Linked DNA regions of Sus scrofa. The protein of the gene in region 4 purifies or fractionates together with the protein of the main gene of each other region. This does not show direct contact. Links are inferred from orthologs where the notes say so. Each region holds a gene or a part of one and is shown on either strand. Other genes may lie near its edges. The genes, in order: PARD6G, RAD18, PARD6B, LLGL2, DCAF1 and PRKCZ.

Region 1 (5,360 bases), on a different chromosome or scaffold from region 4:
ACAGCAAGGCCAGATCCAAGCCGCATCTGCGACCTACACCACAGCTCACAGCAACACCGGATCCTTCATCCGCTGAGTGAGGCCGGGGATAAAACCTACATCCTCATGCATACTAGTCAAGTTCATTACCACTGAACTACAACAGGAACTCTAGTAATCATTTTATATAATGAGCAAGATAGCAAATGTTTTTGAGTTTGTGTGCATACAGTTTCCCTCTCAACTATACAGCTTTGCAACTAGAGCACAAAGCCAGCCAAAGACATGAACGAGTGAGCATGGCTGTATCCCAAAAAACTTTACTTACAAAATCAGGCAGCAGAGCAGATTTGGCTGGCACTTAGCTCTTCATGTTGGCATATTATTTTTCATTAGGAAGGCCCATTTTCATTAAATGAGGTAATGCCATTGTCCCTAAAGCAATCTTAAATTAAGAACATAATCTTAAATTAGGAACCCCTGTTTACTCCCTTTACTGATATTTTAAATTTCATCCTTTCTATGTCACTTTGTTGTAGTTATATCTCTTGTTTACTGTTTTTAACTGGATACTACTTAGTGATAAAATCCAAAGCCTGGAGCTCCCTTCATGGCTCAGTGGTTAAAAACCCAACTAGCAACCATGAAGATTCAGGTTCTATCCCTGGCCTCACTCAGTGGGTTAAGGATCCAACGTTTCCCTGAGCCGTGGTATAGGTCACAGACACAGCTCAGATCTGGCGTGGCTGTGGCTGTGGCTGGCAGCTGTAGCTCCAATTTGACCCTTAGCCTGAGAATTTCCACATGCCACAGGTGTGACCCTAAAAAAGAAAAAACAAACAACAACAAAAACACAAATCCAAAAGCCTTAAAAGAGGTGAGTTTTATCTCATTCACATTTGTAGGCAACGCATAGACGCTTTCAGTTCCTATGTCTTATGTTACTTTTTTCTGCCTACAGAATTTAATAAACATTTCACATGTTTGTATTAGTTTCATGCCCTCTCTCTATATATGTATATTTATATACATAATGTTCTGAAAATATGCAATGGTTATATTTTTGTTTTAGTTTTCCTCTTGATCACATTTAAAACCACAAATGTAATTAATACACTCCTCTATACAATTAAATTAGCATGTTTGTATTTCTTTTAACTTTTTCTCCCATGAATTTACACTAAGAAAAATGATATAACCAACTAAAATTGGATTGTAAACCCGTATAGTACACTTTATAATAATTTTAAACACCCATTTGTCGTTTCTTCTTTGCCTCATTAAACATTCCGACGGTGACGATTGGGATTTTGGCAGTCCCGCTTCCAGAGCTCTCTAGGTAGTAAGTACTCATGACATCGCTAACAATCAATGCCATCTTTCTCCCAATATGTTCTTTTTCCTATCAGCCTTGGCATAACTCTTCCTTCTCGTCAGTCCTAGAGGTGTTTCTGACTCTCTCCGTACCTTTTTACTTTGGCATGTGTTAGACTATGCCTTAGGAGTTCGCTCCCCGCAGAACCTTTACCCAGACCATCTTCCACATGGCAGCTAGTGCGGACAGGTGTGCCCAAAGGGGTCAGGCCTCCAGTGATTCCCATATCGTCCAAAAATCAGCCAAGATCAGTCTCCTTCCCAGGCCAACAGGTGGAGGCAAGCAAAATCTAGTGCGGGCTGCTTGGTGGGAACGAGGCGACTGGGGGGGGGTCGGGCGGCGCTGCTGCTCTTCTGGGCTCCTGCGTTTGGAGCGCGCACCTACCCGTGAGCGCGTCTTAGGGGGCGGGCCCGCCGGGCGGGGCTTGGGGGGAGGGTCCTCGGAGCTAGAGGGAGGGAGGGAGGTGGGAGGGCGGGTCGGTGAGCCGTGGGTGGGGCCTGAGGGGGCTGAGTCTTCGGAGGAGCACCATGCGAGTCCTCGAGGCTCCGAGGGTGGATCCTTAGGGCGTTCCTTCAGGAACCCATCCTTGGGACGCAGGGCGGGACGTGGGTCCTCGGGGCTTGTGGGGCGGGTCCTCCGGGACCGGGGCCGGTTCTCGGTACGAGGGGCGGGGCATGGGACCTGGTCCTCAGGACGAGGGGCGGGGATTGGTGGTGGATCCTCCCGGCGCAGGGCGGGACCTGAGTCCTAGGGCCTCGGGGGGCGGGTCCTCGGGGCGGCGCGCGCTGGCGTCCCCCGCTCCTCCCGCGCGCGGCCCCTGGAGTCCCCGAGGCGCGCGGCCAGCCCTGCTCGGGCTGCTGCACTCCAGCTGCCCGGCCGCCGAGCAAGCGCGGGCCCGGGCCGGGGCCGGGGCCGCGGCGAGGGGCGCCGCACCCAGGGTCCTTCTGCAGCCCTCGTAGCGAGGAGCGAGGGCGAAGACGAGGCTAAGTGGAGCCGGAACCATGAACCGGAGTTTCCACAAGTCTCAGACCCTGCGCTTCTACGACTGCAGCGCGGTGGAAGTCAAGAGCAAGGTGAGCCGGGGTCCAGCAGTTTGCCTACCCCCCTGCGAATGAATGGGCGCCCCGCAGGGGACTGAACTGTGCGAGAGGGACTGGCGCCGGCGACAACTTTGGAGCGCGGCGCGGTCGGTGGAATGTGCGGGGGTCCCCCAGTCCTTCCCGCCCCTCTGCGCGCGCACAAAGCCCGGCAGCCCGATAGGGTCCAGCTGGAGCCGTGGCTCTCTGAGGGCCGCGCGGCCGCCGGACCCTTCGCGGGAGCTGCTCTTTTGTTCCACAAACCAGCGGCGACCCGGCGCGCCGCACGGTGGAGGGGCGACGTTTCCGGGGCTACCCGAGGCTGCTCGGATTCGGGGCCGTGGAGGGGCCTCGGGGGCCCGGGCGAGGGGAGGGCCCTGACCGCGCCGCCGCCCTCGCTGAGGAGGAGCCTCGGAACCCGCAAGGGGGGAGACAGGCTGCGGATCTCCGACCCCTGGACTGGACCCCCAGACCCCGGCCCCGCCCTGCGTACCAGCCCCTCAGCCTCCCGGCGAGCCCCAGGCCCAGATTCCCCCGGCGCGCAAGACCGGCGGCCCCTCCCGCTGCCCGCGCCCTGGCCCAAGCTTGCCCGAACTTGCGGGTGGCTGTACGTATTTGGATAATTGGCTGATAGGATCTGGCGCTTCTGCCCTTTGCGGAGGCGGCTCCTTTGCTGCAGACGCTTTTGTCTGCGAGGGTCTCGGGTGTCCGTGGTGAACCCCGCAGCAGAGGAGGAGCTGCAGTTGTTCAGGGTCCTGGAGGAGGGGCCCCTCGGGCTTACTGCTGCCTGAGAGCCGGTTCTTGCCCTTTCTCTCTGCGCGCCCCCCACCTCGGAAAGCAAAGCAGAGGAGCCTGAGTGGTGGGAGAAGGAGGGTGGGCTCCGACCAACTCCGCGCACACTCGAGTCTTGAGGCTTGTGTGCCCTGGCCCGGTCTCTAGGAAGACAAGTCCAGCGGTCCCCTGCCTGGGCTGCCCCTACCAGCGAAGGGGGATGGGGGTCCTTTGGTGTAAGATTCCCAGGGTTTCCTCCGAGAATTGGTGGAGGGGGCGCGGGTTATCTCCGCGGGAACCTCAACGCAATGAGTTGCGGAATTTCATCACCATCTCGTTGAACAGTGTTTTTATGAGATCCTCATGTCCAGTTACTCCGAATACTAATTCTGTGACCCTTGCCCAACACTCATCCCCTCTTCTAGCCCCAGAGTGCCTTCCCATACTGCCATCAGATGTGCCGGCCGTGAGTAGTGGGACGGGAAAGAACCGACAAGCATGAGTGAGGGCACCAAATAATTGACGTTTCATTAGCTCAGTGGGAATAAGGCTTTTAAAGCTCATTGTCCACTACAGTAGCCACTGAGCACTTATGGTGTTTCATTTTAACTTTCTGTTTTGAGATCATCATAGATTAACAGGCAGTTGTGAAAAAGAATACAGAAACTCCTCCAAAAGTAACATCTTGTATCACAGTGTCACACCTAGGACCTCATTAGACTTGTTCACAAGTGTTTTTAGGTCATGCACTTTCATCAGTGTGCACATTCCTGAGACCCAGCAGTCACAATACAGAGCACTTCCATCTCAAGGGTATCTTCTGCTGCCCTTTCATAGCAGCTATTTGACTCCAAGTGTGAGTTGATTAGCATCAATATCATACACTCTTCCTGAGTTCCCTGTGCTCAGTAGCCACATGCAACTTGCAGCTCCCTGACCAGATGCAACTCCAGAGGGTCTATCCAGAGGGGACAGCCCTGGAGGAAATGACCTCACAAAGCCTTATCCTACAGTGCTGGACTGTTGACACTGTGGGCCAATGGGTTCTGGAGAGTTGAGTCTGCCTTTGCCCCTCGTTGGGAGCTGGGGGCTGTGGGTGTTCTGGTAGCCCAGTGGATGGCCTTCTTGGCTTCCCAGTGAAGAAGAAGGGGCACTGCTCCATGCCCCAAGCCTGGGTTGAAGTTCAGATGCAGCGAATGCTCCCCAGAGGTGAATGGCAGAGCCAGACTTTTGGTTGAATTTGGGAGCAACCCTGGCCCTGGGCCCTGTTGGGCTGTCTGGTTATAGACACACCACTAGCAGCAGCAGCAGCGGCCTTTTTGGATAATGGGGCTTGCCTTACTTTTGTCCAGGGGGTTCATGTGGCTCTTCCCTCTGTATTCGGCCTTCCACTGACCCCCTTAGTAGTTAATACCTAGAACCATTGTGTCTGTCTCTGCAGGGGGTCTTGCGCCAGCTGCTGTTTTCAAAATATGGGGAAAAAAAACGTGATGACAGTGATGTCTTTATCCAGTCTAAATGTAGCACCTAGCACCTGGGTTTGTATTTGGATAAAATAGTGCCAGGGAGCTGAGCTCAGCAGGTTTTGCCACCTACCTTGTGAGCTTTCAGTCAAGTTATTTAACTTTTCTGAGTCTCAGTTATTTCATCTGTAAAATGGCCATTGTGCCGGTTCTGCTTACCTCCTAGGATCAAATGAGGTAGTGAATGTGAAACCACTTTTAAACTGAGAGCAGGAGTTCCCGCTGTGGTGCAGTCAGTTAAGAATCCAGCTACGAGGCTGCAGAAGCAAGAGTTTGATGCCCGGCCTGGGAACTTCATATGCTGCTGGGACAGCCATTAAAAAAAAAAAAAAAAAATGTTGAGAGCACCCACTGTTGTAAGAATTAAGCACTCAGATCAGGATTCTATGGCGTTTCAGGATATTGGGTCTAAAAATCACCTCTGATCCTCTCAGAATTTTTGGCATTAGCCATGTGCCACAGCTGGTCAGTTTCCAAAGCCTTGGGGACTTTATCTTGACCTGGTGCCTCAACCCCTCCCCCAAACATTTCAGCTTTAAAACCTGTGACTGGGCTCCTCCTACGCCGTCCAGCAGCATGCACTTCTGATTCCCCAGTTCTGGTAGTGGGACTAGCGTTTCATGGTCATTCTGACTT
Region 2 (4,728 bases), on a different chromosome or scaffold from region 4:
ATGATGGCTAAACAAAATCACAGTAGGTAGCAAGAGCTCAAACATTTTGTAGGAGTTTATACAAGAACATTGTGAGGGACAATTCATTAAGTCTGTGTCACAACATTTATTTTATTAAGGATAGATGATTAAATTTAAGACTGTGAAATTCTAATGGAAAACTGTACTGCTCACTGGCATTTACAATGAAAAGCACTAGCAGAAAGCAACAATAAAAACATGAAGCCTGAAAAATGTTTCCCCAAAACATGAAAATGATACTGACCTTTCTTTCATGATTTGGTTTAACAGTAAAGCTTTTAAGGGTCCTCAGAACCTGAGGACATCAAAAGGAAGAGTATTCTTTTAATCTACTCTGATATGAATCTACAGAGCTGTCATACACATTAAAGCAGGGACCTGTCAGGGTGTTGTGGAGAAAATTTTCTAAATGCCAGAGACTCTTTTATGTGACCAGATCCAGGATGAGGATATAACTAAAGAGAAAGGTGGCTCAATGTCTCCCGAGGTGTATCCTTCCAAATTCTAGTTTTGCAAGATTAAGTTAGGAGGACAAAAGAGTTTGGGGGGGGGTCAAATAAATATAGGAATTATTAGATAAAACAAAATCCAACAATCATATTTGATGTAGGACTTCTCAGAGCCTTCAGTCCACTAACTTGCACAGTGAATCTTTCCCTGTGAGTATGCATTGCTTCTAAAAGCACTACAGAGCAAATGGCAGGACTTTAGCTTTCCATCGAGCACTTTGGAACCACTAGTGGAACCTGAACTTCACTATTCATGGATGTGTATGTCTTTAGATAAATTGACAGAGCTAAGTATGTTAGAAGAAATATGATGGATGTATCTGGAAAAAGAGAGACCAAGCAGGATTATCAGTGCTGATTCCTTACTGGTCAAGAAGAAAATGCTCAGCTTCCAATCTCCCAACTCATTCTCTAGGAAAAAGCATTTCTAAAGAAGTCATCAGATTCTCACAGCTTATGGGAAATAACCCTCGAGATGATCCAGCTTCATTTATTCCAAATCCCAACTAACTAGGCATCCTAAAAATCTAAATTTTATTCCTGTCAACAAACTTAGCCACTAGGACTGATTGCTGTGCGTGCAAGACTGCACAGGCATCTGATGCCAGGATCCGTCTGTGGAGGAATCTTAGGCCCTACAGGCCACTATGGATAACAGGCAGGGACCAAGGCAGGGGGAGGGTCAGGTGGATCAGCACAGGCCCAGGCCCCTATTTCTACTTTAATGGAACAGGGCCAAGTTTACCTGCTTCACATATTATGGATCACTGTAAGATTTCACTTGAAAAAAGGTTCTGCTAGGGAAAACAATATCAAGCTAAGAACACAATAATAACTGTTAATTGGTGTCCCCACTGTAAATTAAGAAAGTACCACTGTGCTTTATATGTTACCTTTCATAAATTTTAACAGCAAGAGTCTGTCCCTTGGAAACTGAACTGAATCCAGATATACTCATAAAAATTAAGTGATACTATTTTATCTTTAATCATAAATACGATAAAGTACTCCTGCCTAACCAGCATGATTTTTGGAAAAGACTCTTCCAAGTTCTTCAAAACAGACCAAATGGAAGTGCCAATTATTCTGTTCATTCTCACCTCCTAGATAGCATTGGTTTCTTCACTTTCCTTCCTCTCCTTTCCAGATACCTCTGAAATATCACTTATTCTCTCCCCTTCCTTCCTGTTTCAAATGGGTTCTTTTTGCATGTCAAGGATAGCTTCATTACTGGACTTCTGATCTCTTATACTTTATATCATTTGCTCTCTCCCTGGAGATAGTGTAAGGAAGGAGGCTAAAAGCTTATATAATTTCTATTTGAATAAATAAAATCTTCCTCGATTTTGCTGCTTATTCCTTCCCCAAACCACCATTCCATCTCTCCTCTTTCCTTCATCGCCATACTCACCTAATTTGCAACTTCTGCTTCCCTATTATCTTCATTAACCACTGACTCTTTAACACTCTCAATTTAACTTTGATTAAAATGTGATTCCTAGACAACTTGTATGTGTAAAAACAGCAGTCTAGTTTAATAAACTACTTTGACTTCAATGTATAAGAGAGGCAGAATAATGTGAGTTTAGGTACAAATATTGGGTTGACAACTTACTTATCTTACCTGGGTAACTGGAAGACAATATAGATTACAATTCAAACATACCCTTTTGTATCTTTGAACATCATGTGTGTATGGTAATTAACTATTCAGAAAAAATAAATTTTGAAAAAGCTAGATTTAAAAAATTTAAACTTCTGAGCTTCCTAAGAACTAACATAAGCTTTAATGTGTTCTATGTTCAGTCTAACCTTGCTTTCTTTAGCCAAGGGTTTTATGGTAGTTCTAAGATTCTAAGAGAAAAAAACAAATCTAAAAAGAATTATTGAATTCTAAGTCATTAATTTCTTGTTCAGTCAAATTTTATTAGCATATAATAAAGTTAATTATATTTGGCAAGATAGGAGTTGAGGAAAGAATAAAGAATGGACAGGTGGCTAATATTTTATAAAGCAGAAGAAGCAACAGCTAAAGTAGCTCAATGGTTGTGTTTAACTTTCTTACCTTCTGAGGCTTTCTTTCTTCTCTTCACGTGATAAACAGCTGTCTAAGTGCTTATTAATGTGATTTTCTGGAATATTAACCCCACAAACAGGACAATCCACTGTATTTTTCAAAAAGAGAAGAAGATTTCATTATTTATAGAAAAAGCAAAAATAACATAACCTGGCACCTTCTAGCAACTAAGATAAAAAACAGAATCCAATCTTAACACACACTTAAAAAAGTATAAGAGAAAAAGGGCAACAGGAGTGGAACAGACTCCTGATTACTGAATAATGACTATACTGTGGAAAATAATAATAATAATTAGAATCCTAGTTCTGAAGGAAGATACTGCAAAGAAGTCTGGAAATTCTTTTACTAAAAAATGCTTTAGTTAAATCTTTTCCACCAAAGCATGACCAAGCTATAAAACTAATCTTAAGTATTTCCTAGTCTTAGGAACCATTAATGTTTAGCACTGAAGCAATCATAACAACTTGAGTAAGACATACCTGGCTGGAGATGGAAGGTGGGGGAAGGGTATATGCAGCTAAATAAAATAATATATTGGCGTGGGCCAACTACTCTTCAAATTATTCATGGCTACAAATTTGTTAATTTAGCTCTCATTTGTAGCTACAGACATATTTCATTTTACTGTGCTTCACTTTATTGTGCTTTGCAGATAACGCTTTTCTTTTCTTTTTTAAACAAATTGAAGGTTTTTGGCAACCCTGTATTGTCTGGTGATGGCCAGCATTTTCTTTTTTAAACTTTAAGTATAGTTGATTTACAATGTTGTGTTAGTTTCTGATGTACAGCACAGTGATTCAGTTATATATAGATTCTTTCTCATATTCTTTTCAATGAGGTTGATTATAGGATATTGAATACAATAGGACCCTGTTGTTTAATATATTTTTAATATAACAGTTTATTACCTGCTAATCTCAAACTTCTAATTATCCCTCCCTACCCTTTCCCCTTTGGTAACCATAAGTTTGGTTTTCTATGAGTTTGTTTCTGCCATACTTCAGATTTCACATATAAATGATACCATATGGTATTTCTCTTTCTCTTTCCGACTTACTTCACTTATTATGAGAATCTCTAGGTCCATTCACATTGTCTCAAATGGTATTATTTCATTCTTTTTTTATGGCTGGGTAGTATTCTGTTGTGTGTATAAGTGTGTGTGTGTGTGTATATATATATATATATATATATATCTTCTCTATCCATTCATCTGTGGATGGACATTTAGATTGCTTCCATGTCATGGCTATTGTAAACAGTGCTGCTATGAACACAGGGGTGCATGTAGTTTTCAAATTAGAGTTTTCTCTAGATACATGCCCAGGAGTGAGACTGCTGGATCATATGGCAACTCTATTTCTAGTTTTTAAAGGAACCTCCATACAGTTTTACATAGTTGGCTACACCAATTTATATTCCCAGCAGTGTAGGAGAGTTCCCTTTTCTCCACAACCTCTCCAGCTTTTGTCATTTGTAAATTTTTTAACGATGGCCATTCTGACCAGTGTAAGGTGGTACCTCACTGTAGTTTTGATTTCCACTTCTCTAATAATTAGTGATATTGAGCATCTTTTCATGTGCCTATTGGCCATCTGCATGTCTTTGGAGAAATGTCTACTTAGGTCTTTGGCCCATTTTTTGATTGGTTTGTTTGGGGTTTTTTAAATTAAGTTGTATGAGCTGTTTGTATATTTTGGAAATTAAGTCCTTTTTGGTTGCATAGTTTGCAAATATTTTCTCCCACTCTGTAGGCTGTTGTTTTATTTTGTTTACAGTTTCCTTTGCTATGCAAAAGATTTATAAGTTTGATTAGATCTTTTTTATTTTAGCTTTTATTATTGCCTTGGGAGAATGACCTAAGAAAACATTAATACAATTTATGACAGAGAATGTTTGCCTATGTTCTCTTCTAGGAGTTTTATGGTATCATGTCTTAAATTTAAGTCTTTAAGCCATTTTGAGTTTATCTTTGTGTATGGTGTGAGGAATGGTACTAACTCCATTGATTTACATACAGCTGTCCACCTTTCCCAACACCACCTACAGAAGAGACTGTCTTTTCTCCACTGTATACTCTTGCCTCCTATGTTGAAGATTAACTAAGACAGTATTTTT
Region 3 (4,551 bases), on a different chromosome or scaffold from region 4:
CCTCAGACAATGAAACCAGGCAAGGAATGAAAGTTAGCAGCCTTACTCTTACCTTGTTCTAAGTGGATGCACTGGAAAGGAATAAATAGCCTCACAAAATTAATGGAGATATACTCTACCTGTCAAAGGTGAATACTACATACTTTTCATAAAGTGTAGGCAGTGTTCCTAGAAATCCCATTAAGGAAAACCCAAATTTTTCATATAAAAAGTGCACAAGGTTGTCCTGTGTGTAAAATCTCTTAATTTGGGTGCATTTTTTAAACGAAAATATTGACACTATTCGAGTACATTAAGAGTATACAAGCAGACCAACGAAACACACAAACAACAAAAGGAATGGTTTCCAACGAGATTCGGAATGAGAACAAGAAGTGCAGGGAGAGAGCCTCCCGTATCACCAGAGTGGATGGAACTGCCTCTGACGCTGTAACCTACACCTACACCCGAATGGAATGAGATGATACAGACAAGAGCTACGGGAGGGACAAAGGCGGGTCTGAACATCTGTTGGCGTTTCTTACTTCAGGAACATAGCTTCCATGAGGGAAGCGACTCCTAAAATCAGTCCATTGGTTTGATTTCTTAGAAATTAGGGAAAAAAGCAGTGGAAAATATTACTTGCTAAAATTAGCAACAGAGGAACAACACTAAAAAAAAAAAATCAAGATAAAACACGGGGAACATAGGAGCTGAGGTCCCCAAAGTACCAAAGATAGACTTCTTCACATTAGAATTTTAAAACATACAGTTAAGGGGAAAATTATCCAGGCTCTGCACAGCAAGTTAAATATGTAACCACTTCCAACAGAAATGGCCTCGTCCCCGCGCTCGGTTCTGGGAATGTGCTCTAACATCCAGTGCTCTGTAGACAAGACAGCAAAAGCACGTCATTTCATTAGCAAAGGCCCCCTTTAGACTTAAATTCACCTCTGACCCACTGGTTTATATTAATTATCAAACTACTATTTTAATAACATGTGAAGCTTGCACTATTATTTTTTTTCATGCCTATCCCAGATCACTGGTTCAGAGGTATATATGTTAGACTAGCCAAATTTACAAGTCTCCACGGCATCTTCATTCAGAAAACACTCAAACAATGGTTTCATAGTGTTATGATTGTTCCATCTTCTTCTAACAGTTTTTGATCTGGAGCACGCGTTTCAAATTCTGTATTTGTGCCACTTGCTACGGGTGCTAAGCTGACTTCGTTAGAAGGAATAAAACCGTTCTGTCCAGATTCAAAACTGAGTTCTATTTGCGTTAAGGACTCCAGGCTCTCGGTGTTACGAACAGCCTTCGGGATCTGCTGCGGCACTCCGCTGTCTTCAATGATGATGTCATCGTCATCGCTGTCTTCATCCTCGGGCTCAAAGCTCGGCTCGACCTGCTGAGGATAGCCAAGGAGGCTGTTATCCGTAGACTGGCCGGAGCTGCCAGAAGTTCGACTGTTCCTAATGACGTTATTCCTCTGGTTCGCGGGTCTCACTGTGATGATGAGGTTGCGGCTGTTTGCGATCATCATGTCTGTGACTTGATCAAGACTCTTCCCTGAAACTTCGATGCCATTAACTTCTAAAACCTCATCGTTAACAGCTAATAGTCCTGTGCTTTGAGCCAGACCTCCTGGGACAAGTCTGGATATAAAGATCCCTGGGACCTTCTCTAAGCCATGCGGTGTCACCCTGACACTGGAGCCATCCCGGATGTAGAATCCTAGAGGTTTCTCAGTGCCGTATTTGTAAAGGCGGACCCTACGATGCGTTTCTGGAAGAATATCCACATCGATAATAGAAGACACAGGTCGGAAGTCCTGGGGCATACTAATGACTATATGTGGCTTTTTTCTATGGTTGTCAGGACGCAACACATTGGTTAAAACATTCTTCTTCTTTATTAGTGTGTCTGTACCAAAGGCACTGTAGTCCGCTTCTTCTGTTTAAAAATAAAATAGAATAATTACAAAAATGCTGTTAAAACACTCATTTATCTTCAGTGGAATCTGTACAGAAAGGCTAACTCAAAAACATATTTGGTACATAAACAAACTTAAATATTAGCTTATTCTAATCAGATCAAAATGCAGTGCAGTAGGAGTTCCTGCTGTGGCACAGTGGGTTAAGAATCAGACTGCAGAGGCTCTAGTCACTGCAGAGGCATGGGTTCAATCCCTGGCCCAGTACAGTGGGTTAAAGGACCTGGCATTGCTGCAGCTACGGCTGGGATTCAATCCCTGGCCTGGGACCGTCTATGTGCTGTAGCTGTAGGTGCAGCCATTAAAAAAAAAAAAAAAAAAAAAAAAAAAGGAGTGCAGTAGTAAGATATGCTATACCAGAAAAAAAACACTAGGTGGCCCTCTCAAGTATCATTATAAAAATCTTTACCAAAAGTTGAAGTTTGATAAAGCTCAACAGTTTCAGCACCATGGAATATGGCAAATGACATGCTGAGGAGCCTCACATTTTGAAACACCACCTAAAACAAATCATTTATACAGTATTTTCCCTATGTTTGTTTAAAAACCTATGATTTGCACGTTTATCACATTCAACTCAAGGACATGAAACTGGGCACTTCTGAAGCTTAAATACCTATAATAGAGGCTGGGCAGACAGCGTACAGGCAGACCTCTTTTTATTGTGCTTCTCCGATAATTGTGGCTTTTACAAATTGAAGGTTTGTGTCAACCCTGCACTGAACAAGTCTACTGGCACCATTTTTCCAATAGCATTTGCTCAACTTCATGTCTCTGGGTTACATTTTGTTAATTCTAGCAAAATTTCAAACTTTTAAAATTATTATACCTGTTATGATGCTCTTTGATCAGTGACCTTTGATCTCACTATTGCAAAAAGATTAGAACTTGCTGAAGGCTCAGGTGATGGATAACATTTTTAGCAAAAAAAGATTTTTTTAAATAATAATGCATTTTTAAGACAAAATGCACACATTTGCATTATAATCTGTGCAAAAATTCATGTAACTTGCTTTATCATGATATTCGCTTTATTGAGGTGATCTGGAGCCGAACCCACAATATATCTGAAGTCTGCTTATAATTAAACAAAGCAGATAATACTCATGAAATGATAATGCCATGAAATGAATGCATATCAAACACAGAGATTTTGGTCTTCTGCAGATACACTTTCCCTCAGTTTTCTGGAGGAGTTCTTTTTTTTTTTTTTTTTGTCTTTTGTCTTTTTGTCTTTTGTTGTTGTTGCTATTTCTTGGGCCGCTCCCGCGGCATATGGAGGTTCCCAGGCTAGGGGTTGAATTGGAGCTGTAGCCACCGGCCTACGCCAGAGCCACAGCAACGCAGGATCCGAGCCGCGTCTGCAACCTACACCACAGCTCACGGCAACGCCGGATCGTTAACCCACTGAGCAAGGGCAGGGATCGAACCCGCGACCTCATGGTTCCTAGTCGGATTCGTTAACCACTGCGCCACGACGGGAACTCCTCTGGAGGAGTTCTTAATCTTTCGTTTTTCCAATCTTGAAAGAGGCTGAGGTGTTACGATTTTTAACTTTTTTCTTCACTATGTGAAAAACATTAAAATGCAATGATATTTTGTTTCAGTGGCGGGTCAAAGACAACAGTGAGGGCTGAGGACTCCCAGCAGAGCAGAGCCCCTGTTTTAGCTAAAGGCACAGCCGCTCCTTGCTCCAGGCAGCTTTGCTTCGTGGACTATAGGAATCTGTGTGGCCATTTCAATTGGTCAGAGAGTCTCAGGCTTTTTTTTTTTTTCCGGTAAAAAATTCTTCCCACTTTTAAATGCTGACACCTAATTAAGTAACAACAAAAACCTGTTTGAGCAAAATAATGCCTGGGGGTTGAATTCATTCTCCAAGCCAGCAATTTATAATCTTGATGTAAACAAGGCAAAAGCAGGGCACCTAAAACCAGGTCTTCTTAAATCGCTCTGCTGGAGGCAGCCAGTCTAAAACAGCATCTCTCATCAGAGAATGAGAGGAGACGGAATCAACAGGAGGCACAAAATGTGAAATCACGGTTCAAAAATAACTGAAGTGGTGATAAACTAAGAAGTCAGAACCTCCCAGGATAAAAAATATTTAATAAGAATAAAAGAGACGAAATGCCCCCCGCCCCTCAAGAACTTGTTTAAATTCGAGTCTCGGCCACCGCTGCGGGCGGACAGACAGCGGTAACATCGCTGGACCGAGGCTGCAGGGCTTCCCGCGACATCCTCTTGTCCCCGGATGCTCAGGGCCCCCTCTGGGGATAAGTATTACTACCTTTACTTTATAGATCAGGAAACTAAGGGTACGAAATAAGTTAGAGACGAAAGTCTGGACCCAGGTGTTCTTACTAGGCCAAGACCTTGGGCCGTCAACGCCCGTGGCGAATGTTAGGGGGTGTCCGCTGCGTGTCAGAGGACAGAGAACTTGAGGATTCCTTTCTCATGCTGCTGGAACACTCTTCAAAAGCTGGTTTCAGATAAATGTACAAGACCAGTAATAATTTATTTATTTTTTGGGATACCCCCCCACTCGTGGATAATTTTTATTCATTTATGAAGAAAAC
Region 4 (5,345 bases):
CGAAGACGCCGATCTGGCATTGCTGTAGCTGTGGTGTAGGCCGGCAGCAGCCGAAGCTTCGATTACGTCCCCTAGCCTAGAAACTTCCATATGTCACGGGGTGGGGCCTTAAAAAAAACACAATAAACAAAACCCCATTGCTCTATTAGCCCCCTGTGCCCCAGCCCCGCTGCCAAGCCCCATCCAGGCACTGCCCATCTCCCAGTGCTCTGAGTTCACCTGCTTCTGATTGAAAGGCTGGGAGGGAGGGGGAGAGAGAAAGGCCCAGAATTACCTTCTCTAAACCATAAATGAGATCCATCACCCCTGCCCAAAATCCACCAAATGCTGCTGTGTGAGACTGACTCTCTGGTTCCAGCCTCCCTCGACCCCACAGCTGGGGGCTGGGCGGGGCTGGTGTGGGTAGGACCACCCAGGCTCCCCAGCCTTCCAGGATCTGGCCTCCCCCTTCCAATCCCAGCCCTTGGGGCTCCTCCATTTACTCAGAGCCTAGGTGAGACTAATCCCCTCCCCTCCCCAGCACCCCCCCAACTTCCCCTCCCCCCTTTCCAAGCCCAGCAAGTGGAATTTCAGACCATCAGCACCCTTCTTGCCACCAGCCTATAAAAGTCCTCCAGGGCAAAGGCCTTATCATCTGAGAGCCCCACAGACAGCAGGTCCTCAATACACATCTCTAGAAAGTGAACGGAAGGAAGAAGGAATCCCTGGAGCCTCCCCTCCCAGGCGGGCCAGGCCCGAGGGTGGTGGTGGGGGAACAGCCAACTTTGGGGGCAGATTGGGGGAGGTGAGGGGGGTGGTTGCTGATTCCTCTCCCCAGCCCCACCTCAGCCCCACCCTGCCGCTGCACGGTCTGAACTTGGGGCGGGGGTTGGTCCCTGTCACTGAGCCTGTCTATCCGGTTCCCACTGGAATTGGCCACCTTTTTGGGGTGTGAGATGCCAGCATCATCAGGGGCAACAGAAGGCAACAGGGGTCACCCAGGCCCCGGGGTGGGGGAGGGGAGGTGCTGAGGTTCCAAGACGCACACCCAGCACCCATAGGCTGCTCCCTTAGGAGTGAGAATGGCAGGCCCCCAGGAGCCCCGACATCCCCCATTCATAATGTATGCACCCTCATATCCCGAGAACCCGAAGCCCTGCCCACAGCTCCCTCTGCCAGAGGAAGGGAAACCATCGAGAGAAGCCCGGACCCCAGAGGTCTGGAAAATCAGAGGAAAATGGCAGGGGACCCTCAGCCGCTGGGAACAAGCCCCTGGGGGCTCTCTCTCCCTGGGAGGCAGGCAGCCCCTGAAAATAGCACCTAACATTCTGGGAGCACCGTGCTTAGCACCAAAACGATCTAACCCCATGCGATCCTCATAACGAGCCCAGGTGACAGGCACAAGGTCACCCAGCTGCTAAGCGTCCAAGCTAGATTTGAACCCCACCCCGCAGCCTGGCCTGGAGGAGCCCTGGGACTCTGGAGGGCAAAAGCCTCCCCTTCCTGCAGCCCACCCTCCAGGGTAGAGGGACGCGTAGGACGTGCAGGCGTGGAGGCCATGGGCCTAGATCAAAGCAGAGAGGGGCTAATTACCCCAACCGGCTGCAGATTGCTAGGTGGCCTCGGAGCTAATAAACCACGCTGGGCTCCTTCCCCTTCAGAGGTCAGCCCTGGCCTTCTCAGGGCCCAGCCCCCGTGGGGAAGCTCTGGGGAGTTTCTGGGACCATCCACCCCTGTGATCTCGGGTACAAAGGACACTCCCTTCGGGGGCCTTAGGAGCAGGTGTGGGGTAGGAGCAGTCAAATGCCAAGCCCAGCACCTTCTCCCAGGCGCCTCCCCCAACTCACCCAGGCCAAGAGCCTGCAGAGGAACCCATGTGCTCTGCCTGCAAAGAAAACTGTTTTCCTTTGGGGGCAATTTGAGGAGGGAGGAAAGAGCCAAGGCCTGGGGCCCCGGGGCTCCAAGGAAACTGGCATCTCAACCCTGGTACACTTAGCAGCGTTCAACGTCCTTTCATCTCTGTCAGCCCTAAGCCTCCTCAATAACCCCATGAGGTGGCAGGCAGGGTGGGTTGTTTAATCCCTATTTTATTTATTTATTTATTGTCTTTTTTAAGGGCCGTACCTGCGGCATATGGCAGTTCCCGGGCTAGGGGTCGAATTGCAGCTGCAGCTGCCCGTCTACACCACAGCCACAGCCACATGGGATCCGAGCATCTAAAACCTACACCACAGCTCACAGCAATGCCGGATCCTGAACCCACTGAGCGAGGCCAGGGATCGAACCCACATCCTCATGGATCCTAGTCGGGTTCTTAACCCATTGAGCTGTAATGGGAACTCCCCTAGACCCACTTTAAAGGGCGGGAAACGGAGGCTGGAAGAGGTGGAGTGACTTGCAGAGGTCACACAGCCAGCGGGAGGCGTGGACGGGGAGTGCCCACTCCTGGGCCCTACAGCCCTTTCCCAGGAAAGCCCTCTAACCAGCCCCCAGTTCCAAAGTCACATTTCTGTGAGCCATGGTGGGCAGTGCCAAGTAAGTACCTTAATTCAGGTATGGGTGCCCCCCCACCCCCGAGGGTGCTACCTCAGTGCCACCATCACCACCTGGCCGGCCCCTGGCTTCCCTTACCTTGTTAAACTGGAAGAGGTCCCGCTTGAGCCGCTCCCTGGCAGGGTCGTGTCCAGGCCTCAGGAACCGCCTCATCTCGCGCGTGCTCAGCCCCCTGGGGAAACGGGAGAAGCCGCTGAGCCCAGGGCAGGGAGGCCTGGGCCCAGGGGCCCAGGTGAGCAGCCTCTCTCCCCAGGCCCAGCAGGTGGCCACCACCCCGGCCAGGCCAGCTTCACCCCCGGAAAGAAAACTCCAAGCGGGAAGGAGCTCTGTACCTGGCGGCCGGGCAGGCGATGCTCTGACGCTTGCTCTTGGCCACCTGGGGCCTTTTAAAGCCAACGGGAGAAGCTGGGGGAGGAAGCCATTTAGCCTGGCTTTATAGGAACTGGGAGGGCCAGAGGCCCTGAGGTTAATTAAGCTTAATTGTTAACCTGTTTGCTGAAAAACCATAAAACTCTGGCCAAACAGAAAGGGAAACTTCACAAGGCTCTTGCTCCAGAAGGTGGGAATGCGGTTCACCTGGGCTCCCAGATCGGAACCACGGGGGTGGGTGGGGGGAGGCCCAGAAATTCCAGGCCAGGGCCCCCGCAGGACTCCCTGGGGAGTCGGCTCCCCCGGGGCAGATGCTGCCTTCCAACTTCAGGGAAGGCTGCCAAGGGCCTAGGCTGCTCCCGCCAGCCACAGCCACAGCCGTCAGGAACCTCCTGGCGGGGGGCAGGGGCAGGGCCCAGCGTCGGGGGTGCGGTCCCATCCCCCACCCCGGGCTTCCCGGCTGCCCCCACCCCCCATCTCTGGCTCTCCCTGGTCCTGCTCCCCTGGGCTCTGACGGGGAACATTCAGAATGGCTCCCTCTCCCATGGGCCCAAGTGGAGGCTAATCAGAAGACGAAATCTGCTCCCAATAAAGAAACCAGCTCAAGGCCCCCAAACCATCCGCCCCCCGCCGTGGAAGCCTTCCCAGTCCAGGGGGAACTATTTCTGGCTCGGCCTTGGGGGAGGGGGTGGGAGCCTGTGAGCCCGGGCTTCCGGCTTCCAGGAGCGCACCCTCCCTCTGACCGTAGGACACCGAGGCCTGCCCTTGGAAACACAGGGGCTCAGGCCCACCCCGGAAATGGCCTCGTTCACACACGACAGGGAAGGAGGCAGAGCCCGCCCCCGCCCTGGAGGAGCTGCCTCGGGGGTAGGGGCAGGTCAAGTGCGCCCAGGGCCCCCCCCCCCAACAGGGAGGCACGGGGTGGGGGCGGGGGTCCTACAGGAGAAGAAGGAAGCTAAGCTGAGGTCTGACAGGTGCCTTGAAGTTCCTGGCTTCTTGGAAGGTGACAAAAATGAGCCATCGGGCCAGGACTTGGCATAGGAAAGGACCCTGGGAGGCGCGGGCAAGGCAGAGCTGGGGGCACTCTGTGACAGTGATGCACGTCCCGGGGCCAGCCAAACATGCCCAGCTTCTGGGGACTCTGAAAAGGCCACCACTTGGGCGGGTGGCTGAGAGGTTTGTGCCTTCACGTGTGGGGGGAAGCCAGAGCAGAGCGGGGAGCCCCACTTCTCCTGCGGCAGCAGGTAGTCGGGGGAACTGCCCCCTTCTCCCCCCGGGGGCCCTGCAGCAGGTCTAGCGAACAAACACGGCGAAGTCCCGAGCCTCCTGGGCCAGGGACTGAAAACAGACTCCGAGCCTGCAGTGACCTCGGCCTCCTGGACAAACAGCTGAGCTGGTGGCCTCACATTCCAGCCATGGGGGAGGGTGGCGCCAGCTCATCCATCGGCCGCCCCAGGCCCCTGGGGGTGCCTGCTCTCCCTCCCCCAGCCTAGGTCACTGGGTCAAAAGTCACAGGAAGCCGGGAGGGACGCCCTGGAGGAGGAGAAGGGCCTGCAGCCTCCAGGGAGAGGCTGCTCTGGGCCGTGGAGTGGGGACGAGAAGGCACAGGGGCCATCTGTGCCAAGGACCCACACAGGCTGAAGGGTGACACCGAACAGTCCTGGGGGTCAGATGTGCAGGTCAGAGGTGGGGAGAGGGATGAGGGGTGGGGTGGGAGGCAGCCCCACTGGGGAAGGGAGGGCGGCCCTCCATCCACCCACTGCCCACCAGGTCGAGCCAGACCTTCGTGTGGTAGAACACGATGCACCTAAACCCACCCTGGGTGTTCGTTCGCCTTCCAGAAGCCTCCTGGAAGGTGAGTGGGATATCCCCACTTGGCAGACATGGAAAGAAAGACCAGAGAGGCTGGGCAGCTCGAGTCACCGAGAAGGAACCAAAAGAACTCAGACTTGGCCCCGGGTCTGGCGAGGAAGTCCCAGATCTTAGAGGCTGCGTGTGACAGGACGGAGGATGCTTAATTACACCCCTGCCGTTAAAAGGCGCGGCCGCACACACACACTTCAACTCGGAGCCAACCAAGCAGTTTGGGGCTTGGGGCCTGGCCGCGGGCAAGGTCTCCCGGTGGCCTTGCATGTATCTGCTGCTCATTCCACAGGGGGTGCTGGGACCCCACTGGCCTGGGGTGAGTTGGCTCCTCACTCACCCAGTAGAGCAGTAACTGCCCAGGTCAAGGCATAAAAAAGTAGCTTCCCTTCTCAGAGGCAGACAGGTCTGGGACTGGCCAGCCTCACCTCCAGGCGAACCCTTGTTCTGCTCATCCCAGACAGGCAGGTTCTCTGCGGAGAAGCTTCAGGAACCTGGGCCTGGAGCTTCCTGCTGTGGAACAGCTCCTACCAACTCAACCCAGTCCTGGGGGAGGCGGGAGGTAGGGGGCGGGGGTGGAG
Region 5 (4,728 bases), on a different chromosome or scaffold from region 4:
CCACATGTGGCCAGTGACTACTGCACTGGACAGTGTAGTTCCAGAGAATATTGAAATTAAATAGAAATAAGGTAATTTGCTTTTCAGACCCCAGAAATTTTATTTTTTTAAATTTTTTATTTTTTTTGTCTTTTTGCCTTTTCTAGGGCTACTCCTGTGGCATACGGAGGTTCCCAGGCTAGGGGTCTAATTGGAGCTGTAGCCGCTGACCTACGCCACAGCCATAGCAACTCAGGATCCGAACCGCGTCTGTGACCTACACCACAGCTCATGGCAGTGCCGGATCCTTAACCCACTGAGCAAGGCCAGGGATCGAACCCGCAACCTCCTGGTTCCTAGTCGGATTCGTTAACCACTGAGCAAGACCAGGGATCGAACCCGCAACCTCATGGTTCCTAGTCGGATTCGTTAACCACTGAGCCACAGCAGAAACTCCTGGACCCCAGGAATTTAAAATTTTGAGGAGATCAGATAATTATTGGGGTAGCATGTATCTTTGTATGTGGGATGCAGAATGTGTGTGAGTATAAAATGTGTAAACTGATGATTGGACAGTGGGATGAAACTGGAAGTTTTTTGGTTTGTTGTGTTTTTGTTTTGTTTCCCTTAAGCAAGTATTGTTTTTACTTCTGTTGTAGGACAATGGTTGTCTATTTCAGAAGAGTCCTTGTATTTAGCACCTTGATAATTTGTGAAGAAATGTTTGTTCTAGACTGTTCCACTGTGACATGTGTTTTCTTTGTTTAGCATCTAGCATCTCTCCTGCTCCATAACAAGTTTGCTACAGAATTTGTTGCGCATGGTGGAGTACAGAAATTACTGGAAATTCCTCGTCCTTCTATGGCTGCAACTGGTGTGTCCATGTGCTTGTACTACCTGTCCTACAACCAGGATGCCATGGAAAGAGTAAGTCCAGTCCCTTCAAATGTATGGAAATAAGGTAGCATGAGGAACACTCTTACACAGTCACGGGACAACCTTTGGATAAGAAAAAATGAATAGTTGGATTAAGTTTTAAAGAAGCAAGGAGCATGAATGTCTGATTTTTACAAAGCATTCTAAAAATGTAAAATTTTTTAGGAGAAGTCCAAAATGTAAAAATTTTTAAAAAAGGTCCTTTTTGTTTTTTTGAGTCTCTGAAAAAAAAAAATTCAAGATGGATTGGGGTCAGGGAACTTTTTTAGTTTTTGCCATTTCTTTTGCATTAGAATTATTTTCAGGTTCCTTTCAGATATCCCTCAGTGGAGTTATATTTTGCATTTTTGTGTCAGTCTGTTATAAAAACAACAGATGATACGAGATGATGGGTTGTATATGTTAACAAATAGCTTGGTGGAGATAGTAAAATCATTCCAGTTGTTCTCAGAGCTCCAGAGGTTCCCCATCTGGTTCTTCTGTTTTTCTAGTTGAGACTTAGTGACTAAAAAAAAAAATGTAAGTGGGTTGTACATTTGAAAAGACATAGGTCCCTAGATACCACTAGCAAAATGCTTGTCATTTCTGTGCCTGTAATATTTTTCTAAAGTTCTGTGTGGTGGAGTAAAGTTGGTAATTTCTTTTTTTCTTTTTTTTTTTGTTTGCTTTTTAGGGCCACACCCATGGCACATGGAGGTTCCCAAGCTAGGGGTCGAATCGGAGCTACAGCTGCCAGCCTACACCACAGCCACAGCAACGTCAGATCCGAGCCATGTCTGTGACCTGCACCACAGCTCGTGACAATGCCAGATCGAGGTCAGGGATGGGACCCCCAACCTCATGGCTCCTAGTCAGATTTATTTCCACTGCGCCATGATGGGAACTCCTGAAGTTGGTAAATTCTTCTTGAGCCATGTCTGTATTTATCTTTACATGTTTATTAATAAAGTAATATTTTGATTTTAATTTTTTTTTACCCCTTGAGATCAGTATTATGCAAGGATGTGTAGTCTTTTGAGAATAGTAACCTAACTTGTGTATGTATATACAAAAGTAATTGTGGTTAAGATAAAAAAATACCAAGCAAACCTGGGCAGTGCTTCATAATTCATAGTCTGACCTATAGGAGACAAAAAAATGTGTGTGACAGTGAGTGAATGGATACTAAGTAGACTTCAGTATCAGAAGGTTCAATCACATTTATCCTCCTGGGGAAGTCCCTTAATTTTCTGAGCCACTTCCTCATCAGTTAAGTGGAAATCCTAATACTTACTTAACAGAATGTTGTGAGCATTAAAGGATGTAAATATTTGCAAAATTTCATTCAGTGTAGGTTTAATGTAAATATTTCTCTAAATTTAGGTTATTTTTAGGCTTGGAATAGATTGTTAGAAAATTTTATTTGTAACTTAAGCTTTAAACTCAGAATCAGTTGTCTAGGGGTGATTATTGTATTCTGCAAAGATATCTAACTACACTGGTGAACTTTTCATCCCCTTTGAAGGTTCCTTTCCCCAAAATTTTAAAAAATTATTTTTATGTTTTTCAGGTTTGCATGCATCCCCACAATGTTCTGTCTGATGTGGTGAACTATACCTTGTGGTTAATGGAATGTTCTCATGCCTCAGGATGCTGCCATGCTACCATGTTTTTCTCAATCTGCTTCTCCTTTCGGGCTGTGTTGGAACTCTTTGACCGCTATGATGGTCTCCGTCGTCTCGTGAACTTGGTGAGATCCTTCAGTGGCTTCTCTTTGTGCGAAGTAGGGATCTTCCTTCAGACCCACCGACTGGAGGAATTTTGCTGTCATTTTTATGGATGAAGTATTTTTTTCCTCCTTCATTCACAAGTTTCTCTTCTTCTTAAGTGGTTAGAAGACTGTGCCTTTGTATTTTCTTTTTATTGAAGTATAGTCAATATATAATCTGACATTTTCTGCTGTACAATATAGTGACCCTGTTGTACATATATATGTACATTCTTTTTCTCGTATTAGGACTGTGCCATTGTAGACTTGCCTTGGATATAGTTATCTAAAGTGGAACAGCTTAATCTTTCTAAAAGCTATAGTTTGTGCCTCTGTGTATTTCAACATGATTGAAAGCTATGCAGCTTTTCAATAGATTTAATGTTTTAGTTTCATATGGCTGCTCTCAGCATGTATAGACCGATGTACTTTAATTTTTATCAGTATTCTTGGGCATAAAATTTTACTGAGATCTTTCTTCTTTTCCTTTTCCTTTTTGTTGTTGCTCCTTTTTTGGCCCGTTCTTTTGCCTCTTTCCCTATAGATCAGTACTTTGGAGATTCTAAATTTGGAAGATCAGGGTGCACTTCTGAGTGATGATGAAATATTTGCTAGCCGCCAAACTGGGAAACATACCTGCATGGCCTTGCGCAAGTACTTTGAGGCTCACCTGGCCATTAAATTAGAACAAGTGAAGCAGTCACTTCAGAGGACTGAGGGTGGCATTCTTGTTCATCCTCAACCCCCATACAAGGTGAGAGAAGCTTATTTTAAAAGGGAATGTTGTTAACACTCTCTGTAATATCTAGGGCCTGAAATGCACATTCATTATCAGTGAGTCTCAACATGTAAGATGTACATTGTTGAATTATATTTGCACTGTTTGGAGGCAGAATACTTGAAAATGAATGTACCAAGGAATTACTTTATCTCAGTTTTAAGTTGCTACTTCTCTGGGATACCGGAACTAAAAGATGAACTGAGATGTGTGTAAAAGGGCTTTCTTTTTTGGAAAAGTGCTAGCTATCCTACCTTCTATGTGAAAATCTTTTCTGAAAGAATCCATCTTTAATTCCACTTTACTGTCATTTCTGAACTTAATTGGTATGTTTTGGAACAAAGATTAGTATCTGCACAGTTCCTGCTGTGGTGCAATGGCTGTAGCTTATAGCTCTGGCTCAGATTTGATTCTTAGCCCGGGAACTCCATGTGCCATGGGGCAGCCAAAAATGAAGAAAACTCAAACTGAATAGAAACCATTTTGTGTGATGCATCTTAAGCTGTGAAATATATGCACCAATTATTTGAACATTGTGTTATTTTTTAAGCAAAAAGTATTACGAGTCTAGTTTTTAAATAAAAGATTAAACATTATTTTTATATATTCATTATTTCATATGTGGGCTATGGACTGAAGAATTGTAGGATTTGAAAACTGTTATTGGAGTTCCCATCGTGGCTCAACAGTTATGAACCTGAGTAGTATCCATGAGGACATGTGTTTGATCCCTGGCCTCGCTAATTTGGGTTAAAGATCCTGCATTGCCGTGAGCTGTGGTATAGGTCACAGATGTGGCTTGTATCCCTCCTTGCTCTGGCTGTGGTGAGGCTGGCAGCTACAGCTCTGATTTGACCCCTAGCCTGGCAACTTCCATATGCCTCAGGTGTAGCCCTAAACAAAACAAAAAGAAAATTCTTAAAATTATTTAGCTTTATTATTAAAACCTGTTGGGGAGTTGCTGTCATGGCACAGCGGAAACTAATCTGACTAGGAACCATGAGGTTGTGGGTTTGATCCCTGGCCTCGCTCAGTGGGTTTAGGATCTGGCGTTGTCGTGAGCTGTGGTGTAGGTCGCAGATGTGGCTTGGATCCTGCATTGCTGTGGCTGTGGTGTAGGCTGGTGGCTACAGTTCCAATTGAACCCCTAGCCTGGGAACCTGCATATGCCATGGGTGTGGCCCTTAAAAAAAAAAGTAAAAGTTGGCCATTGAGCTGTGCTGGGGAAGATAAAGCAGATTGATAAAATTCTTTAATAATAATATACTTTAATAATATATATCTCTCC
Region 6 (4,728 bases), on a different chromosome or scaffold from region 4:
GAACCCAGCTAGTATCCATGAGGATGTGAGTTTGAGCCCTGGCCTCTCGGTGGGTTCAGGATCCCGTGTTGCCGTGAACTATGGTGTAGGTCACAGATGCAACTCAGATCTGGCATTGCTGTGGCTGTGGTGCAGGCCGGCATCTGCAGCTCCAGTTCAACCCCTTCGCCTGGGAACCTGCACATGCCATGGGTGTGGCCCTTAAAAGCAGAAGCCAAAAAAAAGGCCTTTGCCTTGGCTCTCGGATGCTCCTTCCTCGGATCCTGAATTCTCCCCAGCAGTTGCCCTCCTGGGGTGGAGGTGCCGTCATTCAGGTGATTGGCCAGGGCTGAGGTCTCAAGAGGGTTGGCCCTGTGGCCCCCGTTGGCCCTCACTGCCGTCCACTGCATTTCCGGTGGGTCCCGGGGGCGCCCCACAATTGGGGGGTGGATTCAGCCACACGGGGACTTTGGAAGACACTCTCCCTTTTCCTGTTATGGAAGTTGAAAGCTGTGGGCATGTGTGTGTCTTCAGCACGTAGTGGGCGCCCACTGGGTGCGGCTGTGTGGCTGTGACTAACAGACACGAGCCCTGCATGTGGGGAGGGGCCTGGGCTCTTGGTGGCCGTTGGCCGTGAGCAGCCGTCCCGTGGGGCTGGGTGGCACCCCAGGTCCACACCTGCGGAGGGGTGGCTCCATTTCCTAGCTCAGCTCAGTCCACGGCTGGCGGGCGGGGGGGTTCTGTTCTGGTCTCCAGGAGAGACTTGAGACTCTCTGAAGAGGCTAGAATGTGGAAAAACTCAACAGGGAGCCCGTAGGTGTGCAAACGCCATGCGCCTGTGAGGACAGCTTGGGCTCTGGGTGGCGGGCGTGCGGCCAGACTTCTGGACACGCTCACGTCCCTGCGTGTTGTGACATTCCAAAGTGGGAAAGCTGCCCCGAGCCAGCACATAGTAGTCATGAAATTCACGTGCTCAGAGCTGAGAAGAACAAAAATTGGCCGTTTAAAGTCTTTTAAAAGCTGGAAAAAAGCCCCAGACCACTGCACAGAGCCCCAGTCAGCTCGCAGTCCCGCTGCGGCTGGATGCCCGCGGCCGCGACTCCTGGGTGGCCAGGCGGCCCACGCTCTGCCCACCCGGGGCCCTTGGCTGTTCCCACCTCCAGGCCCTGTGAGCCGGGGGCCTTGCGGGGAGGGGTCCCATCACCCCCACCCTGGGCCTCGCCTGTCTCCTCACGAGCAGCCCAGCCCCCTCCTTGGGGCCCCTGCTTCCCCCCTCCCCGGGGAAGGACCCAGGTGGGGGCGGCTGGGCCTGGTGCCCCAGCTCCATGTGGCCGCGCAGCACGTCCCCTCGGGCCACTGGGGCTGCGGGGGCACCGGCCCCGCTTGACGGCGCTGTTGTCGCCCGCACAGGGAGCGTACTGCGGCCAGTGCAGCGAAAGGATATGGGGCCTCGCGAGGCAAGGCTACAGGTGCATCAGCTGCAGACTGCTGGTCCATAAGCGCTGCCACGGCCTCGTCCCGCTGACCTGCAAGAGGCATATGGTGAGTGGAGCCAGGCCCGGGGCCTGGGACTGCAGGGCCACAGCCCGGCTGGTGGTCCGGGTCTGTGCCCAGGCAGGAAGCAGCGCTTAGGAGCTGGGGGCGAAGCCGGCTGCCCTGACCCTCAAGGCCCCGGGCCCAGCCCCAGTGCCCCACCCCGCAGGGAAGGCCCACTTAGGTGTCCAGCCTCTGCTGGCGCTCCACCTGGCCGGCCACGTGCGATGGCCCGGGAGCGGAGCTGGAGTGACCATCAGCCCCCCGGGCTCCGCGAGCACAGGTCCCATCACAGAGTGAGCCGGAAAGGCACGTCTGGGGTTGGAGCAAGGGCAGAGGTGTCACACGGTGTTGCCGGAGTGCTGGGACACGGGTCCCGCAGATGCGGGAGGCGCTGGCTCAGCCGCAGCTGCCAAAACCTAGAAAGGTGCCCGCGCCCTTCGATCCTCTAGGTCCACATTAGCCTGAGAAATGAGACCAGCCCCGAGGCCACGGCCAGAGGCTGAGGGATGCCCGGGGCTGCGGTATTCACCAGGAGGGACCTGCCTCCATTGTGACATCCGCCCTGAAACCCGGAGCCAGGTGGTGTCTGATGGCTGGCGGCACACGACGCGGGCTGGGAGGGGACTCTGCGTGGATGCACGCGTATCAGAGCGCGCCCACTGCAAAGGCCACGGCCCGAGGCACCGGGCGGTCCCCTCTGCCTGCGACTCGCAGGGTTTCCTCCAGGCCAGTGCGGGAACGGACGCTTGAGTGGTGAGAACCGTGACGTGGCAGCATGCGGGTCACTCTTCACGCCGTCTCTCTGCAGGATTCTGTCATGCCTTCCCAGGAGCCTGCAGTAGACGACAGCAGTGACCGCGTGGACCTTCCGTCCGAGGACACCGATGGAAGTAGGGCCCCAGGATGCCCGCCCGCCTCTGCCTCCAGCCGGTTCCCCCACATCCCATTCTCCCCGAGGGCCAGTGTCCGTGAGCTCAGCGGCTCCTGGGGGCTTGGGGTGGGCTCTCCAGGCGGAGATGGGGGGTGGCCTTCCTGGGCGCCCAGCTGTCTGTGAGCGGCTGCCCTAGGGGCCCGGTGGCAGGGGGAGGGTCTTCCCTCTGCTGACTGTGGAGGTTCTAGAAGGCAGGAGTGCAGCAGCCACCATGGCCCCTCCCACACACTGGGTGCCCATCGCCGTGGAAAGGCCTGCTGTTCACACCACACGCTCTTGTGTACCTCTCAGGGTTTCGTGGGGTTTTGGGGGGTTTTTTTGGTTGGGGAGACTTTCTAAGGCTAAAAGGTGTCCAGAGAGTGGTTTTGAACACCAGCTGGACTGACGGCCCAGCTCTGAGCTCCTGCAATTCTGTGCACTGTTACATGGGTGTGAAAGGCCTGGCCCCTCCCTTGATACATATGGGCCCCGCCCCCAGGTGAAATGATGCCTCGGAACATAAAGCCCATAGCCCAGCACCTCCTGAAAAGGACACTCCTGACACCTGCCCACCCACCTGCTCACCATCCACCACCCACCCACCACCCACCCGACCCTCGTGCCATCCACCCCCTCCCCCACCTGCCACCCAGGACCCATTCAACCAGCCATGCATCCAGCTTTCCATCTGCATCCTGTAAGAACAGACTGAAAGGTTAGGCCCCACAACCTCAGTCCTAGGCACGCGGCAAACTTGCCACCGTGCCGGTTTGGGGCCCTCCCCAGAGTTCCAAGTCAGCAGGTCCAGGTGGGCCCAGGAAGCTGCATTTTCTTAAGACTCTAGCTGAGTCAGAGGTGGCTGCTCCTGGCCTTCGCCCTGAGCGCCGCTGGCTTGGCCTGGGCCGCCATGCGTCGGCAGGGCCGGGGCGGGGGCCCCGAGTCTCGGGCCGCGGTCCCAGCAGTGCTCCTGACACCTGGCCTTCCTCTCTCTCCAATAGTTGCTTATATTTCTTCAACCCGGAAACACGACGGCATCAAAGATGATTCCGAGGTGAGTGTGGGAAATGGCTTCTCTCTCCAGGGGTTTTTAGAAGTTTGTTGCCTCTTTGCTGGGCAGTTATGGAAACTCCAAGGTGAGCTGGGCACCTTTGGGCAGGGCTGCTCCTGCTGAGCGGGGCCATGGCCTCCGGCACACGGCAGTCCCGTGCAGGGCGGAGGGCTCTGAGGTCGTCCAGACATTTAGCTCAGAGGTCACCGGGACAGCTGAATGGGCAGAGAGCCAGTGCTGTGCCTCAGAGGTGAGGACCTGGCGCTTCTTAGACGCGACTCCTTCACTGATGCAAACCGGGGGCCAGTGTCCTTCCTTGGCCGCATCTGTGAGCCCGAGCGGCCTGGCCTGAGCCCGGGTCAGGGGGCCTCTCTGCCCTCAGGATCCTCTTCCGTCAAGTTGGGATGACCTTTGCACCTTCCGCGAGGGTGAACTGAGAGCTGTCGCATGAGCTCTTAGCACCCGCCCGCCCGCACGGGGAGCTGTGCACGCACTGACCGCTGGCGGGGCCACCGCCTCCGAGCGGCTGGCTCACCGGGCGCCCGCAACCTCCACAAAGCAAACACCTGCGCTCACCCGCCCCGCAGTCGCCTCCCGTCCCCTGTGACAGATGTTCCTGTCCCTGGGGCGTCCATGCCTCTTGTGGCAGAGATGTTGGCACCTCTCTCGGGGCTGGGCCCTCTGGTTTGGGGGGATGAGTGTCCAGTGTGCCCAAGTCAGTCTGTTGGGGGGGAGATGGGGGGGAGTGAGGAGGGAGAGACAGGGTGAGGAGGGGGAGGCAAGGGGAGTGAGGAGGGGGGACGGGGGGGGGGATGAAGAAGGGAGGGGGGATGAGGAGGGGAGATGGGGTGGGGAGGGAGAGGTGAGGGGGCGGTAAGGAGGGGGAAACGCGGGGGCGGGGGGGGGGGGAAGTGCTCTGGACCCAGGCCTGCCTCCTTCGAGGCAGGGTCTCACTTGGGACACACCCTTTATGAATCCCCCCGAGGCTTCTGTGCCAAGGGCTCTTTGGGGCCCAGATCCTGGCCCCCAGCTCCCAGCTCCCCCTCCACCCCAGCGGCAGGGCAGGCCCAGGGCTGGCTCCTGAGCAGCAATTCTTTCATTCAAGCCTTCGGTACATTTCCGTGGGTGCCTTTGCAGCACGACGCAGTCGGGCCCTGCACCAAGTCTCCTGCATCAACCTAGGTCTGACACCGTCCACCCCCCCCCGGGGGGGGGGCACCCGAGCCTGCACCTGCAAGACTGCATCCCACCCGAC

What was found.
Region 1: the proteins of LLGL2 (region 4) and PARD6G purify together in Homo sapiens (affinity purification with mass spectrometry; 4 studies listed by BioGRID and IntAct, counting the BioPlex papers as one, with this or other methods). This does not show direct contact. The link is inferred for Sus scrofa from reciprocal best matches to the Homo sapiens genes LLGL2 and PARD6G.
Region 2: the proteins of LLGL2 (region 4) and RAD18 purify together in Homo sapiens (affinity purification with mass spectrometry; 3 studies listed by BioGRID and IntAct, counting the BioPlex papers as one, with this or other methods). This does not show direct contact. The link is inferred for Sus scrofa from reciprocal best matches to the Homo sapiens genes LLGL2 and RAD18.
Region 3: the proteins of LLGL2 (region 4) and PARD6B purify together in Homo sapiens (affinity purification with mass spectrometry; 7 studies listed by BioGRID and IntAct, counting the BioPlex papers as one, with this or other methods). This does not show direct contact. The link is inferred for Sus scrofa from reciprocal best matches to the Homo sapiens genes LLGL2 and PARD6B.
Region 5: the proteins of LLGL2 (region 4) and DCAF1 purify together in Homo sapiens (co-immunoprecipitation; 3 studies listed by BioGRID and IntAct, counting the BioPlex papers as one, with this or other methods). This does not show direct contact. The link is inferred for Sus scrofa from reciprocal best matches to the Homo sapiens genes LLGL2 and DCAF1.
Region 6: the proteins of LLGL2 (region 4) and PRKCZ purify together in Homo sapiens (affinity purification with mass spectrometry; 7 studies listed by BioGRID and IntAct, counting the BioPlex papers as one, with this or other methods). This does not show direct contact. The link is inferred for Sus scrofa from reciprocal best matches to the Homo sapiens genes LLGL2 and PRKCZ.

Annotation. Positions count from the first base shown.
Region 1 is NC_010448.4:128,247,515-128,252,874, reverse strand, and holds the start of PARD6G (partitioning defective 6 homolog gamma), read left to right. Parts: upstream 1-2,166; 5' UTR 2,167-2,355; coding exon 2,356-2,427; intron 2,428-5,360. UniProt on the Homo sapiens protein: Adapter protein involved in asymmetrical cell division and cell polarization processes. May play a role in the formation of epithelial tight junctions. The PARD6-PARD3 complex links GTP-bound Rho small GTPases to atypical protein kinase C proteins.
Region 2 is NC_010455.5:65,323,847-65,328,574, forward strand, and holds part of RAD18 (E3 ubiquitin-protein ligase RAD18), read right to left. Parts: intron 2,696-4,728; coding exon 2,596-2,695; intron 1-2,595. UniProt on the Homo sapiens protein: E3 ubiquitin-protein ligase involved in postreplication repair of UV-damaged DNA. Postreplication repair functions in gap-filling of a daughter strand on replication of damaged DNA.
Region 3 is NC_010459.5:52,208,062-52,212,612, reverse strand, and holds the end of PARD6B (partitioning defective 6 homolog beta), read right to left. Parts: intron 1,939-4,551; coding exon 1,109-1,938; downstream 1-1,108. UniProt on the Homo sapiens protein: Adapter protein involved in asymmetrical cell division and cell polarization processes. Probably involved in formation of epithelial tight junctions.
Region 4 is NC_010454.4:5,832,136-5,837,480, forward strand, and holds the start of LLGL2 (lethal(2) giant larvae protein homolog 2), read right to left. Parts: upstream 3,269-5,345; 5' UTR 2,865-3,268; intron 2,705-2,864; 5' UTR 2,686-2,704; coding exon 2,611-2,685; intron 1-2,610. UniProt on the Homo sapiens protein: Part of a complex with GPSM2/LGN, PRKCI/aPKC and PARD6B/Par-6, which may ensure the correct organization and orientation of bipolar spindles for normal cell division.
Region 5 is NC_010455.5:33,705,330-33,710,057, reverse strand, and holds part of DCAF1 (protein VPRBP), read left to right. Parts: intron 1-747; coding exon 748-906; intron 907-2,464; coding exon 2,465-2,644; intron 2,645-3,206; coding exon 3,207-3,416; intron 3,417-4,728. UniProt on the Homo sapiens protein: Acts both as a substrate recognition component of E3 ubiquitin-protein ligase complexes and as an atypical serine/threonine-protein kinase, playing key roles in various processes such as cell cycle, telomerase regulation and histone modification.
Region 6 is NC_010448.4:64,131,629-64,136,356, forward strand, and holds part of PRKCZ (protein kinase C zeta type), read left to right. Parts: intron 1-1,389; coding exon 1,390-1,521; intron 1,522-2,323; coding exon 2,324-2,405; intron 2,406-3,423; coding exon 3,424-3,476; intron 3,477-4,728. UniProt on the Homo sapiens protein: Calcium- and diacylglycerol-independent serine/threonine-protein kinase that functions in phosphatidylinositol 3-kinase (PI3K) pathway and mitogen-activated protein (MAP) kinase cascade, and is involved in NF-kappa-B activation, mitogenic signaling, cell proliferation, cell polarity, inflammatory response and maintenance of long-term potentiation (LTP).